4 linked regions of the Nothobranchius furzeri genome follow. The protein of the gene in region 1 interacts with the protein of each later gene in a biochemical or structural test. Links are inferred from orthologs where the notes say so. Each region holds a gene or a part of one and is shown on either strand. Other genes may lie near its edges. The genes, in order: pex5, ddo, pex13 and pex12.

Region 1 (3,807 bases):
CACGTTGGACTTAAAATGTGCTAAAAATAACAGTTTTTACAACACGTCGGACTTTTCACTGTGTTGTTATTGATGTCTGTTTTCCCTCAGGATTGCTGCAGGAGGACACCGGTATTTATGAGCGGCGGAGGAAAACGAAAGGAAGTAAATAAATGTTTTGTGATCAGTATAATTTGACATAACCACGGTAAACATGCTTTCGACAATCCTTGTTAGTGTGAGAAAAAAAGTGTAGAAATTAAAACGGACGTGTGTTAATAGGGAAACAGCTGGCGAGCCATGTTTGCGCATGCGCCGTGAGCGGTTCTGGTTCTGTTTGGGCTGCAGCCGCTTGAATTTGTTTACTGTGACGTAAAGTTGAAGTGCTGAAGTTTTGAAAACTAAATTTGAATAAAACTTGAAGAATAACTGGCAATTGCTTGCTCATTTCAAGAGGTCTTTCATATTTTATAACATGCTATTTGATACAAGGGTTTACAAAACGCAAAAGAGTAATTTATTAGAGTACTCGATTACAAAAATATTCGATAGCTGCAGCCCTACAAAATTTAGACACAAACTGCGGACAATCTTTTCCTGACATACAGCAGGGTTTATTTAGTGGTCTGAAAATTTAACACGTTTAAAAAAATACCGCGATAATACCGAAAACCGTGATAATTTTGGTCACAATAACCGTGAGGTTAAATTTTCACACCGTGACGACCCTATACCCCACATTTGGGTTAGAGGTTTTCTCACATTTACCTCCACCGCCGCTTTAGCTTGTTGAAAATCTGGCCCAGATGCAGCGAACTCGTCCACCCAGGCTTCCGCCGACTCCTCTGAAACCTGAAGAGAAATGACAACGGTTGCTACGAGTCTGTTCTCACTGGCCACGCCAACTCCTACGAGAACGAAGGATGGGGACGTTTAAAAACAGGCGAGATGAAGCCAGAACATAAAGGAAGCAGCGATGAAAGCAGAGACTAGGTAATTTGCTACAACCCGCTTTTACTTCTTCCTAATTCTACTTCTAGCAGCATCAGACGCTACTTGCATCTCAAATGTTCACGTAGGAATAAAATAGACAAAAATTAACTTCTAACACAAAAAATAAACACCTTCTGCTGCCACGACCCCAAAGGGCCTACCTGCCTGACGACTTTGGCCCATTGCTCTGCTTGTTTAGCTTTAACTTTGTCAATCTGGTGATTCGTCTCTGGAGGTTCCAAGGGAAGACTCCCTCCCCCCGTCTCCGTCAGGAACTACGATGGGAGGCGAGGAGGGGTGGCGGTGACAAGCGGGGACATCGTTTTTGAGGGGAAGGAAGCAGTTGGTGGGGAGGTTTGGTTTTGGAAGGGTGGGTGGAATAAGCATCGTTTTAAACACAATCGTAAGAAATGAAAGCAGTTTTTTGTTGTTGAGGGAATGCCAAGCCAAGAGTTTGAAGGCTGGTCAAAAATGGGAACAGTATGTGTCAAAGTCAAAGGATATGAAAGAATATAAACAGTCCAAGCAAAGCAGGATTAAGAGTCTAAACCCATTTTCACCAAGAAAAGGACGAAAAAGAGAGCATTAAATAAAGGAATAAAAGCAACAAATTAGGACAGAGAATTTGGGCTTAAACCATTTCAAATGCAACATAAAGCCATGATGGACCAATGCGATAGCGCTAAGGGGAAAACAGTAAACACTTTTAAATTCTAAATAAACAAATTAAAAGAAGTAAATTATAAAAGTCTGCAAGAAAGAAAAAAAAAAGAGCATTCAGGGGTGCCTAATCCTGGTCCTGGATGGCCGGTATCCTGGATGTTTTAGTAGTTTCCCTGCTTCAACACACCTGTATTCAATGAGCAGGTGATTAACAGGCCTTTGCAGAGCCTGGTGAACAGGTGATTGATCCAATGAATCAGGTGTGTTGGAGCAAGAAACTGATGGGCGTTTCGGCCTTTTACACTTTGAAGGGTTAAAGTAACAACAGATAGATTCTTTAAGCTGGAGCTTTAATATTGATCTCAGTGATTATTGAGTTAGAAACTTGATCAGTTTAATCTTTGACACCACTCTGCAGCCCTCTGCTGGCCAAAAACCACGCTTGATCATTTTGTGGAGCGGGTAGGTGCCCTGTAGAGGGTGGTCTTAACCTGTTTTATGGCTGTTAGCTGTAATGCTAGCGGTTAGCATTTTCAGAATGCAGATCGTCAAATAAAAAGCACAAGAAGGCTGGTGTCATGGCGGAGCCTGGAAGTAAAAGTAAGAGAGGAATGTCTTTGGAGGTGAAGCAAAGAGCTAAAACCAGAGTGAACATCGGCGTGGCCTACACAAATTTGAGGGAGCTGAAGGAGGCTACAAAAGCCACGGACTGATGGTGACCTGGCCTTGTTGCTACGGGACTTGTAAGTAATATTTTTGTCCAACAGTGTGAATCTTTTTACTTCATGGTTTATTTTAGTATTAGTTGTCTCGTGTTAGTGTTAGCTCGTTGTTAGCGCTAGCTACAGCAGGCTGCAGCAGGGTTGTTTACGACAATTGTAATTCCACTTTCAGCCAGTAGGGGGAGGAGCAGGAACCTGCTCTGTGTTACTTTAAAGATGGAGAAAAACTACTTGTAAGTTTTGTTTTAATTACTAGACCAAATATCCTGAACAATAAATGTAAAGTTGATATTTTAAAGTCAACTTCTAAATTTTTAAAAGCTGAAGTAAAGGAAAGCTCCTGATCTTCATTTATGCCACTTGCCATTTCAATTCTCCTTTATTCTTTTCCAGTTTGGCAAGCTTCTATGTTTTCTTTTTCAATAAACTAGTTACTGTTTGTTGTTTATTTAGTATTTCTTTGTTTCTTGGCAGATACGGTCTTCCACGCTTAGCTGAAAAATAAAATCTGGCACCAGAATTTCGGAAATTTCGCTGCAGCTCTGAGAAAGCCGTGGCCGGAGTCGACACAGGAACAAAGAGCTACCCTCACACGAGGAGAAGCCGTCCTCTTTGCAGAACACATCTTCTCTACAGGCTTGAGATTCATATTACAGGGAGAACGTGGCTTCATTTGGTTACATTTGTGGAAAATTTGTACAGATACTGAGGGGATGAGTCACGAGACAGAGCCTTTGCTGTGCAAAAAAAAAAAAAAAAGAGCCAATTCGCTACCCGAACTCTAACGTGTTCCCAGTTGAAACCACCCCCTCCTCAGTGGGCTGTGACTCATACCTGGTTGAGGTTGGAGGCCCAGTTCTGAGCCTCCTCGGCCTGAACTTTATCTGTCAGCTGTTTGTCTGTTCTGCTCTCCACTGTCACACTGCCCTCGCCAATCTGCCTAATGAATCGCAGGAACTACACAACAACAAAAAAATATTTACCATTACTAACCCGTCAGGTCTCGCAAATTAGCAGCTCATTGATTGCGACACCAAAACAACAGTCTCACAAAAACAAATCTACTCTGAAAATGTTACAGAAGAGGAAGATTATGGTGACAGATGTGTAAAAACGAATGATGTGCAGCATAAAGAGGATCCCCGACGGGTGGAAGAAACGCTGCTCACCTCGGTGTTTTGCAGTTTGGGGTCGTCGACCTTTGAGACAAGCTCATTGGCCGTTTGTCTCAGCTCATCCTCAGCCTGATACTCCTTTGTCCTGTCAGATCAAAAATACCACCATCACGCTGCAGTAAGAGCTCTGTTTACTCGTGGTTCTGCAGGCTGGAATAAATGATTTCAGGCTGAAAGCAGCACTTTGAAATAGTTGCCAGTGAAGAGAAGTCCAAGGCCGATAATCATTACATGAGCATTCGTTCTGATCAAATGCTTCAGTGAGAGCTTTTCTC
Region 2 (4,590 bases), on another chromosome or scaffold:
TCCTCCAACTGATCTCTCCATGCTGAAACATCTGAGCTTGGTCCTCCAGAGTATGATTTAAAATGCATTCATTCCTACTAGGGCAGGGCGATAAGGACCAAAACTTGTATCTCGATATCTTTAGGCTGAATTCTGATATACAATATCTATCTCAATATTTTTCCTCCTTTAAAAGATTTACAAGTTAGCTCCCTTCATGCTGTCTTGAGAAACTTATCTACATAAATTCATCAGTAGATTAAATGTATTGATTATTGCCAAACATTAACCTTAACTGCCCATTCTCTACCAGTCTGAGCTTTAGAAACACTGCTACAGCTGTCTGTTATATATGTGTGTAGCATAGCAGCCAGCGCTAGCTACTAAGCTAGCGACTTGACTAGTTATATCAATATAGTCATCATGTTTCTTGTTTGAAATTATATCGATATTTTAAAAATATCGATGTTGCCCAGCCCTAATTCCTACTAGAGTCCAACGTATTAAAAACATGAGTGAATGACTTCTTTAATAACATTCCAATTATTTGCTGATATCTTAAGTTTTTTATCATTTCAGGAACAGCGGACATTTTGAGGAGATGTCTCAGATAAAGTCTTCGTCCTTCCTGGCTCTTTACTCAGATTCACATAAGCAGAGCATTCTGGGTAAATTTGACAAGCTCAGGAAAAGGGACCTGCTGTGTGATGTCACTGTTGTTGTGGAAAACGCTCACTTCAAGGCTCACAAAGCCCTGCTGGCAGCGAGCAGCGAGTTCTTCTCCAACATGTTCACGACAGAAGACCAAAAGTCCACATGTCGGCTGGACGGCATGGCGGCGAAGATGTTTGCTGCCGTACTAGAGTTCATCTACAGCGCCCAGGTGTCGGTGGAGGAGAGCGCCATGGAGCAGCTTCTGGCTGCGGCTCATCTCACGGAGGTCAGCGAGCTGGTCAAAGTGCTCACAGAGCTCACGAGCTCTACAGCAGCGGTCAAACCTGACAACATAAAAGCCGGCAGAGCAGAGGGGGCAGATTTGACGAAACGCAAAAGAGGACGACCAAAGAAAAGTGCAGGAGCGCATGGAGAGAGCTCAGTGGACAGACATGCTGAAGACAAGGAAACCAGGTCTACACACAGCAAAGATCACGACTCTGAAGCTGAGCAGCGACATCTCAGCAAACGCAAAATCAGGACGCCGGTGAAATTTAAGGGATACAAAATTGACTGTGAAACAGGAAGTAAAGAATCTGGGAGGAGTGCAAGCAGAAGAAAATACCCCAATACAGAGGCCCGGTGTGAGGACTGCGAGAAAGTGTTCAAACACCACCTGTTTTTAAAGATCCACCAAAGGACTCACACTGGTAACGTCTTCAGATCCAGTAAAATATCCACAACTACATCAATTTCATTTGTTTGCCGAACACCTGGATGACGTTTCTGTTTTCCCTCAGGAGAGAAACCTTTCCTGTGCTTGGTCTGTGGGAAAAAGTTTACCCAGAAGCACACTCTGCTGGCTCACCAGCGCATCCACACTGGAGAAAAGCCCTTCGTCTGCTCCATCTGCTCCAAAGCACTTTCTACCAAACACTCTCTACAAGAGCACATGACCCTCCACGAAGGTAGGATCAGATCCAGTCAGAACCAGTTTTATTCTGTTATAAGCATTTTACAAACATGTATAAAGGCCTTGGTCTTGTTTTTGATATTTTGGTACAGGTTTTAAATGATTTTGTTTGCATTTTTTTCCCCTAGTTGGATTATTATTTGATTGTGATAAATGCGGAAAGACGTTCAATCAGAAGAAGCAACTTAAAAGCCATTACCGAGTTCACACCGGTAAGATCGAGCCAAAGCCTGTGACGGGTTATTTGCTGTACTTTCAAACTTTAAACTGCACAATTCCTTCTTTTTTCATGTTTTCCCAAAGGTCAGTCATTACCAGAGTGTGCTCAGTGTCATCATAGGTTCATGGATGCAGCCCAGCTGAAGAAGCACCTCAGAACTCACACAGGTGACATCACCTGCTGCTGTTGATTGAGCCCTAATAAAATGACTGTATACTTTTATATTTTTTTAAATCCTTATTTTCACAGGCGAGAAGCCGTTCACTTGTGAGATTTGTGGGAAACGTTTCACAGCCAAGAGCACACTACAGACTCACATCAGGATTCACAGGTGAGCAGACAGGAATCGTGTAGCGTGTGCAGCCTGCTAGTGAAGTGTTTTTCATACATCCTGTTCAGTTCTAAGCTCTCCTTAAATAAATAAGTTTCCCCCTCCTACTGGTTGAATGTGGAATTACAACTGAACATCCATGCGACAGCCTGCTGTAGCTAGCTCTAACAATGAGCTAATGCTAACAGGAGCCAACTGATGCTAAATCAGCCAAAAAGTTAAACGTTCCACATTGTTTGACAAAAAAACAACAACCATATATTACTTTCAAGTCAAGTAGCAACAGAGCCTGTGTAGGGTTTGGCAAATTGAGTGTTCTAAGAGCTCAAGATATATATTACCTCTACTTTTGACCAATAGGCTGTGGTACTCTATCTAAATATAGAATATCAACCCTGCTTGGTCTTTACGGTGTTTAGTCAGAAGATCTAGGATTCTTGCTTTATCAGGGGGATTGTACACACTTCGTTTTGATTCAGAAAAGAGTCAGGTTTATAAAAGTACGAATTTATTATTACAAACAGTTAAAACATGACAAGTTAACTAAGCATTTACTGTGAGTGGATGGAACTAGATGTGATGTAGGAACCTATGTGTGAATGGTGTTAGTCAGAACTTCCGTGTCTAGGAGAGCTGAGTTCTGGATGTAAAAGAATTTGGTTTGCATTGAGCTATGGAGTTGGTTATTATCAAAACACATCCGACGCTATCTGTGTGTCTACATACCTACTCGAAGACACTTTTGATAGATACGGAATGTCGAAGTCCTCGGACTTCTAGGCACCGAGGTCCGTAGAAGAAACTGGAGTCTCAGGTGGAGTGCCACTGCAACCGTCAGACTCTGTGGGTGTCACTGACCTTGGAGGCTGCGGACAGAATGGTCACTCTGACGGCGCCGTTGTAGTTAACAACACCTAAAGAGGGAATGACACGAACACGAAAGAGAGCACGGAGCTCAGGAACGGAGTCGAGCTCAACAGAAGAAGGCAGATGAGCTGTCGGATCAGAAAGGTACAGGATCATCCTGCTGATAGCAGGGTCCTGGGACTGAAGACTGACAAGGTTGTTTTCAGAAAAGACCGGTTGAACAGACACAACGCCATCGGATGGTCGAGGAGTGGACGCGTTAGAGGCCTGAGCTCGAGCCACGACACACACACGGGGTGGGTCTGACTGAAAGGACACATCGTCGGGTAGCACAAGGGGTTGAAGGACCATGGGGTACCAACAGCTGCACATTGTTTGGCATGAGAGTCTGCAAGATTGTTCAGATCCTTGTCAGTTCCGGGTGCACGAGAATGACCTTTGACCTTACGCCAATAGATCTGCATGTCATGTGATGTCGCTAGGGCAAAATTTGAATTTTTTCCAGCTTCTTGAAAATCTGAGTCAGTCAGCTTATCTGGTTGCAGGTTTTGTTCCATATCTGGAGGCAGATCAGCAGAAGAAAGGGTTAAGACCTCTCCAGGGCAGGAAGCATTCTCAATAGCATCAAGTCTTTTATCTAAAGATATAATCTTTTCATCCAAAGTTTGGAATTTCTGGTTTAAATTGGAGAGCTGCTGTTGAATGTCCCCTTTCATTTCAGTTAGAAAATCCATCAAAAGTTTATCCCGGTCTGCAGACTTGTTGATGACTCCACAGAACCTTTAATTTTGCGATGAACTGGGTTTAATAAGCTTTTGCTGAAGCTGCCGGACTAATACCTGCCAATAGGTGGCGGTACCGGTCGATGAAGGAATTTGGTCAGAGAAGAAGACACTATTGCGTTACTTCCGGTCACAATCTCTTCGACATAAAATAACCCTCAGCTGATTAGATCGTTTTTTTATAAGTATATTTGTTCAAACGCGGCGGTTTATAAACCAAAATGTGTACCCTGAAGGGATTTGATTGGAGACGCGTACTCGCTGGGGCGGATTGTCGATAAAACCTGAAGGAGCTTCAGTGTTTTATCTCCGGGCTCAACAGCTAACTGTATAAACACGTCAGCGTCAGGCCTTGATTGCTTGATCAGGCGTTTACGCATTAACTCTAGGGGAATTAACCTCTTCGACCACGGTATTTCTTCCACAGGTTCTCGTAATTTAATTTGTCGGGATAGCGGGAATTTAAACGGTATGGTACGTCGTTACGTCGCCCCTCCACCCGGAGCTAATGTAGCAGCCGGTGCTTGAGATGAGCTAAAAGGAATATTTGCGCGTTTCTGAGCCGGTTTACGACTGCAGCTTCAGGTCTCTGCCTGGAATAATCCGGTATAAACTTCGGAAAATGTCCGGTTTTGCCCGGACTAACCACGTTGATCAGACCTCGGTTAAAGCTGTTCAGCTCTGGTGCTAACGTCGGACCTTCTCTGGTCCGAGTCCACACAAGCATAAACAAAGGTGACAAAATCACTCAAATAAACGTGACAGAATCACTCAAAGGACGTGA
Region 3 (4,266 bases), on another chromosome or scaffold:
ATATATTTCCTTTTCCTAAACTAATCAAGTTAAATATTTACATTGAGTGATTGATTAACCGATAAAATTGGGAAAAATTAGACATCTCTGAATGAATCAAAGTCCTTTCGCTTCACTCAACAAACACAGACGCCTAAAGCTCAGACAGATTAAATGAAAAGCTAATCTCAGACGAACTAAAACAGTGTTTGAATAACATTTTTCTCGTTCAGACTCGATCGTCACAGGTCATCCTTCTCCGGGATGTTTATCAATGTGTCGGAGGACATGCTGGAACTGAAAGAGGCTGGCGCTGCTCCATACGCCGACTCAAGCTGCTCTGCAGACGCCGTGGAAAGATCTCGGTTAAAATCTTGAGCTGCAGGCGAGTGCGACTGCGGAGTCGAGGCCGTTGCAGAAGCCGGCGCCATTCCTGGCTGAACCTGAGCAAGCCTCTCCATCTCGGCATGCCTGCGCCCTCTCCTCTTGCCAAGGACTTTCACGTAGTTGGCAGGAACGAGACCTGTGGTCTGACCGTCAACGCTGGCGAGCAACCAGCCACGCACCCGGGGTTGTTGCTCTAAACACGAGGAGGGGAAACAAGTTTTAGTCTCGAAGAAGTTGAGAAAATGTTCTGGACAGTGAACGTCACACTGTCGCAGGATGTCTATGAAAACAGGCTTGTCTGAGACGATGTGTTGAAGCTTTCAGATTATAGCTTTGGAGATAAAAAACAAAACAAAGGCGGATTCTGTTTCTGTGTCAGAGCTTAAAACAGATTAGAAACTCTCCTAAAGTGAAAACTGAAATCATAATTGTTCAATTAAACATCTTCATCAACAAAAATATCATACAACATTCAAAATATGAAATCTCATTTTAAAAGTAACCTGAGTGGACGACACAGAAAGGGATAAAAACCACACGAAGGTAATACTTTTCACATATTTTGAACTACAAATGCCGCTTTTTTAAACCAGTTTAAACTCGAAGACAGGTTATGTTCAAAGCTTCTACCTTTAGGGGCGAGGTTAAGCATATCTCCAGCCTGCAGAGAAAGCTCCTCCTCAGAAGCTGCTGAAAACCCAAACTCAGCTTGGGCCACAACGTGATCGTCCTCCCCGCTGGCCCAGTCAGTAGCTAAACAAACAGAACAATTTCACTGAAAGCAGGTAAAGACAACGGTTAGTGTTGTTGTACAAGCTGTGGAGTCCAAGTTGAACTGATTCTCGCCCGTCTGTCACCACTGAGTCTTTACTAGTCTATTTACTGAGAAGTCTTGTGTCAGAAAACAGCTTTAAACATCAAATAATGAGTTGGAATAAACACAGAAGCAGGTTTGGAGACAGAAGAACATGAAACACAAGCCTTACTGTTTTCTTCACTGGCAGCACTGGAGCTGAGAAGTTTCCAGATGAGGTAGGGGCCGCCGAGGACTACAGCAAAGAACAGGAAGACCGGCCAGGACTTCACACGCTGATCCTCAGCGCCTGCTCCGTTACCTCTAGATGAACTCGTAGCAAGAACATCACTAGTGCTGTCAGCCCACAAGTCCTCAGCATCTGCGTCTGGCCGCCCCCTCCTCAGAAGTCGCTGCAACCATCTGTACAGGTAACGCAATGTTCGGACAAAAGCAAAAGCTGACAGAACTCTAGTGAGGTCAGCACGCAGCCTCGTTAGATGGTTAGCGACATCCAGCACCGCTCGAAAACTGTTGTACACCGCTGAGAAGGTGGCGTCGAGCATCATGCTGACCGAAGAGAAGGCCTGGACGATGCTCTCAATGGACTGGAAGGCACCACGGCTGCTCTCCTCGGCCTGCTGCACAAACCGGCTGGGGACAACGTCCTCTCGGGGGGGGAAGTGTCTGTAGCCCACTGAGTTGAATCCACTACCGTAAGAGTAGGGGCTGTAGCCGCCATAGAAGGAACTCCCATACGGACTGTGCGAAGGCATGAAGGAGTTGTAGGATGGACGATAGGACTGCTGGACAGGCCGGGGGGGCACTGGAGGAGCCATCCTGGTCAGGACAGGAGGACCCACAGAAGTGGAGGCGACTCCTGCAGCGGGCCCAAAGCCGGTAGACCTATTTGGTGAGAAAAACAAGCTAAGATACAGAACAGCTGTTTCCTGTGCGTTTTCAGGAAGAACTAAAACATGCATGACCAGAGTTGTTGAAAAGAAGCTAAAATAATTTCACTCATTCACTGCCAGCCGTTTCCTGATCAGAAAAACCCTTCGCTGCCAGCGTTTTCTCTTTTTAAGTGCTCTGCTTTGGGCTAATGCCAGTTAAGCGTGTAAAATCAGTGGATCAGAGCAGGCGTGTTGATAAAAGGCATTTAAAACCACAAAAGACGGGCAAAAATCTAAAGTTAGAGGACATGTACACTAATGTAAAAAACAGTAAATGCTGTGAGTGGCTTTAACGTTTATTAAAGGCAAAGCAACAAAACGCTGTAACGAAGCTCTAGCTAACTACATTTTGATTAAACGGTTGTCGTAAACAACTTATGAGCTGCTGAAACACAACTAAGTCGTTATTCGAGCTCCGAACAAAAAGGACATTGGTTTTGATTGAACATGTTGTTTATAGTGGCCCTTGATCATTAGCGTTAGCATTTGGCTAACTTACGAGCCAGCTGTGACAGGTAAACACGCGAGAGCGAGCAAGTAACATTATTATTTACCTGTAATTTACTGGCGCACTCATAACTCTTGGAATGTGCCCTTGCCACGGTTTAGGTGGAGGTTGAGAATCCATTGCTAAATATTAGCCCGCAAGGGTAGAAATATAGCAATATTTGCCCTCGTCCCCAAGTTGTCTCTACTGTGGCCTTCTTCTTCGTTGGTGCTAAATTCTTACCTTCTTTAACCCAAGTATGAATCATTGATGCTTTTCTGCCCCCTTGTGGTTTTAATGGTAATAGCCGAGGCTAAAGGCTAAACCTCTGATGTGGTAATTTATTTCGCAGGAAAAATGCACACATTTGTTTAATTTGCCTTTTAAATTCAAAACATTATTGGACTAAACAGAGATTATTCCAGAGGATTACAATTTGTAAATCATTTTCTCTTTCGATCAGCGTTAACGTAACAATCTGTAAGTGGCCAGCAGAGGACGCTACACACAATAACAGAAATGTGAAACTATCTCTCAGCAGCAGGTTAAAGGTAAATATAATAAAATTTAATATCTGTGTGTGTGTGTGTGTGTGTGTGTGTGTGTGTGTGTGTGTGTGTGTGTGTGTGTGTGTGTGTGTGTGTGTGTGTGTGTGTGTGTGTGTGTGTAAAAAAATGCAAATAGCAACAGCACTTTTGTTTACATGGAAAACTCCCATCAGATTAAACAGCGAACTTTGTAGAATATTTGTAAAATATATTACAGTAAATAAGCAACTAACAAAAACAAAAAAATCAATACAAAAATCACTCTTCTCAATGTCACCCCACATTTATTTCTTGACATAATCTTTAAAATGTTTTATTTGGCACAACTCCACATCTGCATGAGGAAGAACAGATAATTTAGTGATGTTTTTACAATAATATCTTACAGGAAAAGGATAGCAGTACAGCATGAGTGCAGTTTTAACATCAGAATCTTTTAACCAAAACAAATTCTGATAACAAAAATCCATAGGATTCACAGCTCATACGTGTGTACTGTCACGTTAGGATTTCACTCTTTATAATTTTCTGCACCTAAAAACCTTCTTGATTAAAAATAATAATAAACCCAACAAAAACCTGTTTTTCATGCTGTTGCAAAAGAATCAAAACCTACTTGAAAGCTGGATTCAGAGGAACATTTTCATTTGTGAAAAGATGAAAACTAATTTACTATGATCTTTTTAAAAAATTAACTGAAAGATCAGACATCCAATTTAACTTTACCTGGAAGTTTAAACATCTGATCTAAAAAGGAGAACCAGTAAAAAACGGAGGTTTATGTAGAAAAAGGATATTCAGTTAAATTATTTCTGTTTGTTGGAAAACATTACATTTCTGTGATCTCATTAAAGAGCAAGTCACCCCCCAATAAACATTTTTTTGCTGATAAACCAAATAAACGAGTATCTAATCGTGCTGCAGACACGTGTCGTCAATAATTTGGCACTTCAGTGCATCTTAGTTAAAATTTAAATATTCTGCCTAAAACTGGCAGTGTTGTGCCATTGACAGATACAACTGCACTGTATTCTAATTTAAATCTGCCACCACTATTGGCTAAGAGGTATGCTATGATGCAAACTGGTACATTATGATGTCACAATGCTGTCGTGAGCC
Region 4 (4,463 bases), on another chromosome or scaffold:
GGAAGTGGAGAGAGAGATGGCCACCCCCTTCGCCGTCTGAGACACCAGCCACCAGGCTCGCTGCAACAGGCTGCAAACACACACGAACATTGACCCATCAGTCAGTACAGTGTTGCCCTGATCAAGAAGGCTCCTCCGGTTGGTTCTGATCCACTTTCTGGTCTCCACGCTGGAGTTTAGGAAGCGGTCGGGTTTACAGTTTTTCTCGATTCCTCACATTCTCCAAACAGTAAACACACATCCATAACATCTCACCCAACTTCCCAAACATCACATTTTCAGGTCAAAATGAAGCTCTACACTCAAAACCTTTCACTCTTGGTGAAAAACCAGACTTGGCCTACAGACATCACACACAAGGCCTCAAAAACACACACATTACAACATAGTAGTACACATTGTAGCTGTTGCTCTTCCACACAAACATTTCTACATGATGAACACGTGGTGCTCATGTAAGGTTTGTAAGTGGTTACTTTTAATAACTTATCTATAGAATATAAAGGTATTCAATACAATGTAATATTCCATTAAAGTATGGTTTATCAATATTAACCCATTCACTGCCAGCTGTTTCCTGATCACTAACGGCCTTCGCTGCCAGCGTTTCTCACCGTTTTTACTGTTTTTTTAAGAGTCACAGAACGTTGCGCGCTAGCATGATGTCGACGCCAAAACAACCAAAACAAAGAGGAGACTCACCTCTTACATCAGGAAGAAGCCGCGTGTTTCGAGCGTTATCCGTTCTTTCATAATCCGTTGTTGAATTGTGATCGGCAGACGCTTTTCCGGTTCGCGCCTCACTTTTTTTACAGAAACGGCCCAAAACGATCTCCTAACACATGGATGTGATGCTTCCTGAGCATGTGATCTGTGACGTATGCGGATGAAGATCGGCTTCAGGGCTGAGATGTTTGTTCTCTGAGCGCGGGGGCTCGTTGCGATGCTCAAACAGTAAAAAAATGCAAATGACGACTTTAGTCGTCAATGGCAGTGAATGAGTTAATGAACCTTTGATGTTCGATTGATGATTGTAGGTACTTTGGGTATAACATAACATAATGCCACATACACACACACACACACACACACATGTGGCTGAGACCGCGATGCTTTTATAACCTACAGCCACAGAGATGTGACAGGCTCAGCCTCGCCTCAAGGCTGCTGTGGCTACATCGTAGCTCATCACCATCAGTGTGTGAATGTGTGTGTGAATGAGTAAATGATACACTGTAGTGTAAATCACTTTGGAGTCCTTCCTCTGAGAGGCGCTTTACAAGTGCGGGTCATTTATCATTAATTTATCATTTACATGGGACCTTTCACCCATTGGTCAGACGGAGTTCAAACTGCTGTTGTCAATTAGTGTAGAATAATTTAGAGCTGAAGAGGGCGCTGGACTTAAGGTTTTAGGCTGAATTTTAAGTTTTTAAAGAAAATGCACCAAAAATAACAACTAGACATGTCTACAACACTACAATACACTTATTTATACAAGTTATCAGCAAAAAACCAGATTTTGGTGTGACTTTCTCTTTAATGAACTTAACTGTATTGGAATGTTTACGGTGCGAAGTCATAATCAAGAGTAAAGTACCTCTTATCTGCTGTGGGGCCGATGCTGCTCATTTTCTGCTCCATGACTCGAATATCCTGAGCACTGAGGCGAGCCAGCCGGACGTTGGCAAACCACATCAGGGGGCTGTGAGTCCTGGTGACCCCAAACACAAACAGCAGCTGCTGGCAGAAGATCCAGGCCTGCCAGGCTGAGCTGACATATGGGTAAGCTGCCACTGCTGCTCGATACAGCCGCTCTTTCCGGGTCTGAGCCAACCTGATGGAGAAGTCCTCCTCATCCCTCTGCCGTGCCAGCCTCACCTCCAGCTTGGCCCGTAGGTACGGAGCCAGGCACAGAAGAAGAAGAGAAAGCCAGCGGGACCTCCTGAGCAGACCTAGGTGAGCTGGAGGTGCCTGCTGGCCTGAAACCCTCTTCAGACCATAGAAGTTCTCCGAAAAGGAGGCGCTGCAGTGACGCAGGAAGTGGTTCTGGAGGATCAGGTCCAGCAGCAGGTACAGTTCATCAAAGCTTCTCCACAGGAAGCCAAAGTGAGACGGGTTGGATTCAGCCAGAACCTGCAGGGCCACAGACCTCTATGATGTTCAGAAAACATTTGTGCTTGTGCAGCAGAGCTGAGTGCAGCACACCTACCCTGACGGCATGCCTCAGCGCTGGTTTCACTGCCTCCATCAGTGACTCCTGGGCCAGAACTTCAAAAATGGAGGGCTGCTCACCGACAGCGGCCGAGGTGAGATGGGCTCCAGCCTCCGCCATGGCTGCTGCTACAGAACCGGGTCCTAAAATCCAAACCACTCTGAACTCAAACTCACCTTTATTCACAACAGGTCAACACAAAGTGCTGCTGTTCTGTAACATTTATATAAATTATCATGTCCGTTATGTTTGCTAGCACGAGTAAAGGTGGAATAAAGCGCTCTTCTGTAGAACCGGTGCTTATGATCACGGGAGTGTTTTAATGTGTGACTGCACACTTCCGGCGACACTCACAGGTGAACTCTCCTGGGTTCTCTCCCACCTGCAGCGGCACCACGGGCATGGACATCTAGACAGTACCCCTTCCGAACCGTCACCGTGCTAGTGGTTCCGGTCCATTGCGCGTTCAGACCTACTACAGAAACACATTTTTACAGGATTCTAAATAATTTAATGCTTTCTGTTTTTCAGCGGTGGACAAACTCACGTCCGGCTGTCTTCTCCGGCTGTTGGCAAGAAGCTAACAGCGCCGCGAATCCACGACAGAAGCGCTAAAGCTGCGTGAGACCTTGCAGCAAACGTCTGAAAGATTGTTCTGTCGCCGCTCACTCCTGTAAATTATTTACGTTATTAACCATTAAAGTCCATTCCAGCTGCTTCCGGAACCGGAACTTCTTCTACAGCTGCAGCGGAGCTTACCGCCACCTACTGGATGTGCGGGGAAGTGTCTCATTTAGGTTTCCTTTTTTCCAATTGTCCTCCAGCTCCATTAAACACGAGTGTTGGCAGCCATCAAGCGCATCTGCTGTCATTCTCCCGAGCTTCACCATTTAGTTTAACCCCTAGAATGCCAAGCCCTTTTAAAACAGACACAGGAATAAATATAATATACTTTATTAATCCTGCAGTGGTGGCGTTTACTCGTTTCAGCAGCACATACACATGGAGAAAAGGAAGCAGAAAAATAATATGATTACAGATAAGCACACAAAGGCTATTATTGTAAACTTAAAACACTAAAAACAACAAATAATAAAGGAAACTTGGGTTTCCAGAAATAAATGATAAATGACCCGCATTTGTATAGCGCCTTTCTGAGTCAGAGGACTCCAAAGCACTCTACATTACAGTGTATCATTTACCCATTCATTCACACACAGGTGGTGATGAGCCAATCAGAGAGCTGGGAGGGGGTGAGGCACTTTCCCGCCTTCTGACGATCAATAAAATGTAAGTTAAGTAGAGATAGGTCAGAAAGATCAGATACAGCAGTCTGTTATTGGCTCAATATTCGGCTTTTTATATTCACTCCAGTGAGACTTGATTAGAGTGATCCTTAGTTCCTTCTGTTGCCATGGTAAAAAATGTCAGTTATGTTGGTAGTTTTAAGTGTAGAGAGCTCAGAAAACCCAAAAACAGCAGTAGGTTATCGGCTCAGAATTAGACTTTCTACATTATTTCCAAGAGACTTGTTTGTGGTGATCCTTGGATACATGCGTTGCCATGGTAATCTATTTCTCAGAATCTGGTTAATTATAAGGTACAAATAAACCATGCACCCACACATATTCGATTGTCAATGGACATCAGTGTATAAAAGCGCAATCCTGTCCTGATGTTTGAATAGATTGTAACTAGGAAAATGGAGGCTCCAGCCCCTTCCGCCCAAGACTACATTAATGTGCACATCATAATTTACAATTAAACAGCATTAGCCCCGCTCAGTTGGCTTCATTAAGAATAAATAAATATATGATGCAATTTATACATCAATAAAAAATCATTTTGGTCAATAATATGTCTTAAAGAACCGCATTGACCTGAATATAGGACGAGGTTTTTTCATTGAAAATAATTTTAAATGTGGGGTCGTCTTATAATCGGGGTCTAAGCTTTCACACATGCCGATATTTATCTGGGGTCGTTACACGACCAAAACAGCAGAGGGCGCCAGGCTGTATGTTCTCAACCGGAGAAGAAAATGGAGACGGGAGGTCTGCAGCAGAGTGGATTGAAAGTGGGGCAAGTGAACAAGCTACCAAGGCAGAGATATGATGCTAATTTTAAGATGACGGTGGTCAATTCAGCAGAGGCATCAAACATTGCATGCATAGATGTATTGGATGGCAGTGAGGATGATGTTCAGTGGGAAGAGCCGGCAGGTGTAGCAATCTGATGGTATGGGACC

Evidence for each region.
Region 2: the proteins of pex5 (region 1) and ddo form a complex in vitro, tested with the Homo sapiens proteins (2 studies listed by BioGRID, with this or other methods). The link is inferred for Nothobranchius furzeri from reciprocal best matches to the Homo sapiens genes PEX5 and DDO.
Region 3: the proteins of pex5 (region 1) and pex13 form a complex in vitro, tested with the Homo sapiens proteins (3 studies listed by BioGRID). The link is inferred for Nothobranchius furzeri from reciprocal best matches to the Homo sapiens genes PEX5 and PEX13.
Region 4: the proteins of pex5 (region 1) and pex12 form a complex in vitro, tested with the Homo sapiens proteins (2 studies listed by BioGRID). The link is inferred for Nothobranchius furzeri from reciprocal best matches to the Homo sapiens genes PEX5 and PEX12.

The regions. Positions count from the first base shown.
Region 1 is NC_091745.1:74,169,221-74,173,027, reverse strand, and holds part of pex5 (peroxisomal biogenesis factor 5), read right to left. Parts: intron 3,618-3,807; coding exon 3,527-3,617; intron 3,315-3,526; coding exon 3,192-3,314; intron 1,248-3,191; coding exon 1,134-1,247; intron 832-1,133; coding exon 748-831; intron 1-747.
Region 2 is NC_091758.1:20,540,754-20,545,343, forward strand, and holds the start of ddo (D-aspartate oxidase), read right to left. Parts: upstream 3,023-4,590; 5' UTR 2,884-3,022; intron 2,158-2,883; coding exon of another isoform or gene 2,076-2,157; intron 1,994-2,075; coding exon of another isoform or gene 1,910-1,993; intron 1,819-1,909; coding exon of another isoform or gene 1,735-1,818; intron 1,602-1,734; coding exon of another isoform or gene 1,434-1,601; intron 1,344-1,433; coding exon of another isoform or gene 581-1,343; exon of another isoform or gene 559-580; intron 1-558. Other genes in the region: zbtb24 (zinc finger and BTB domain-containing protein 24), read left to right, coding at 581-1,343, 1,434-1,601, 1,735-1,818, 1,910-1,993, 2,076-2,157. UniProt on the Homo sapiens protein: Selectively catalyzes the oxidative deamination of acidic amino acids. Suppresses the level of D-aspartate in the brain, an amino acid that can act as an agonist for glutamate receptors. Protects the organism from the toxicity of D-amino acids.
Region 3 is NC_091752.1:7,648,720-7,652,985, reverse strand, and holds the start of pex13 (peroxisome biogenesis factor 13), read right to left. Parts: upstream 2,844-4,266; 5' UTR 2,741-2,843; coding exon 2,667-2,740; intron 2,066-2,666; coding exon 1,353-2,065; intron 1,120-1,352; coding exon 997-1,119; intron 560-996; coding exon 222-559; 3' UTR 1-221. UniProt on the Homo sapiens protein: Component of the PEX13-PEX14 docking complex, a translocon channel that specifically mediates the import of peroxisomal cargo proteins bound to PEX5 receptor.
Region 4 is NC_091758.1:14,500,513-14,504,975, forward strand, and holds the start of pex12 (peroxisome assembly protein 12), read right to left. Parts: upstream 2,934-4,463; 5' UTR 2,763-2,933; intron 2,691-2,762; exon of another isoform or gene 2,688-2,690; 5' UTR 2,570-2,687; intron 2,359-2,569; 5' UTR 2,336-2,358; coding exon 2,213-2,335; intron 2,137-2,212; coding exon 1,601-2,136; intron 71-1,600; coding exon 1-70. UniProt on the Homo sapiens protein: Component of a retrotranslocation channel required for peroxisome organization by mediating export of the PEX5 receptor from peroxisomes to the cytosol, thereby promoting PEX5 recycling.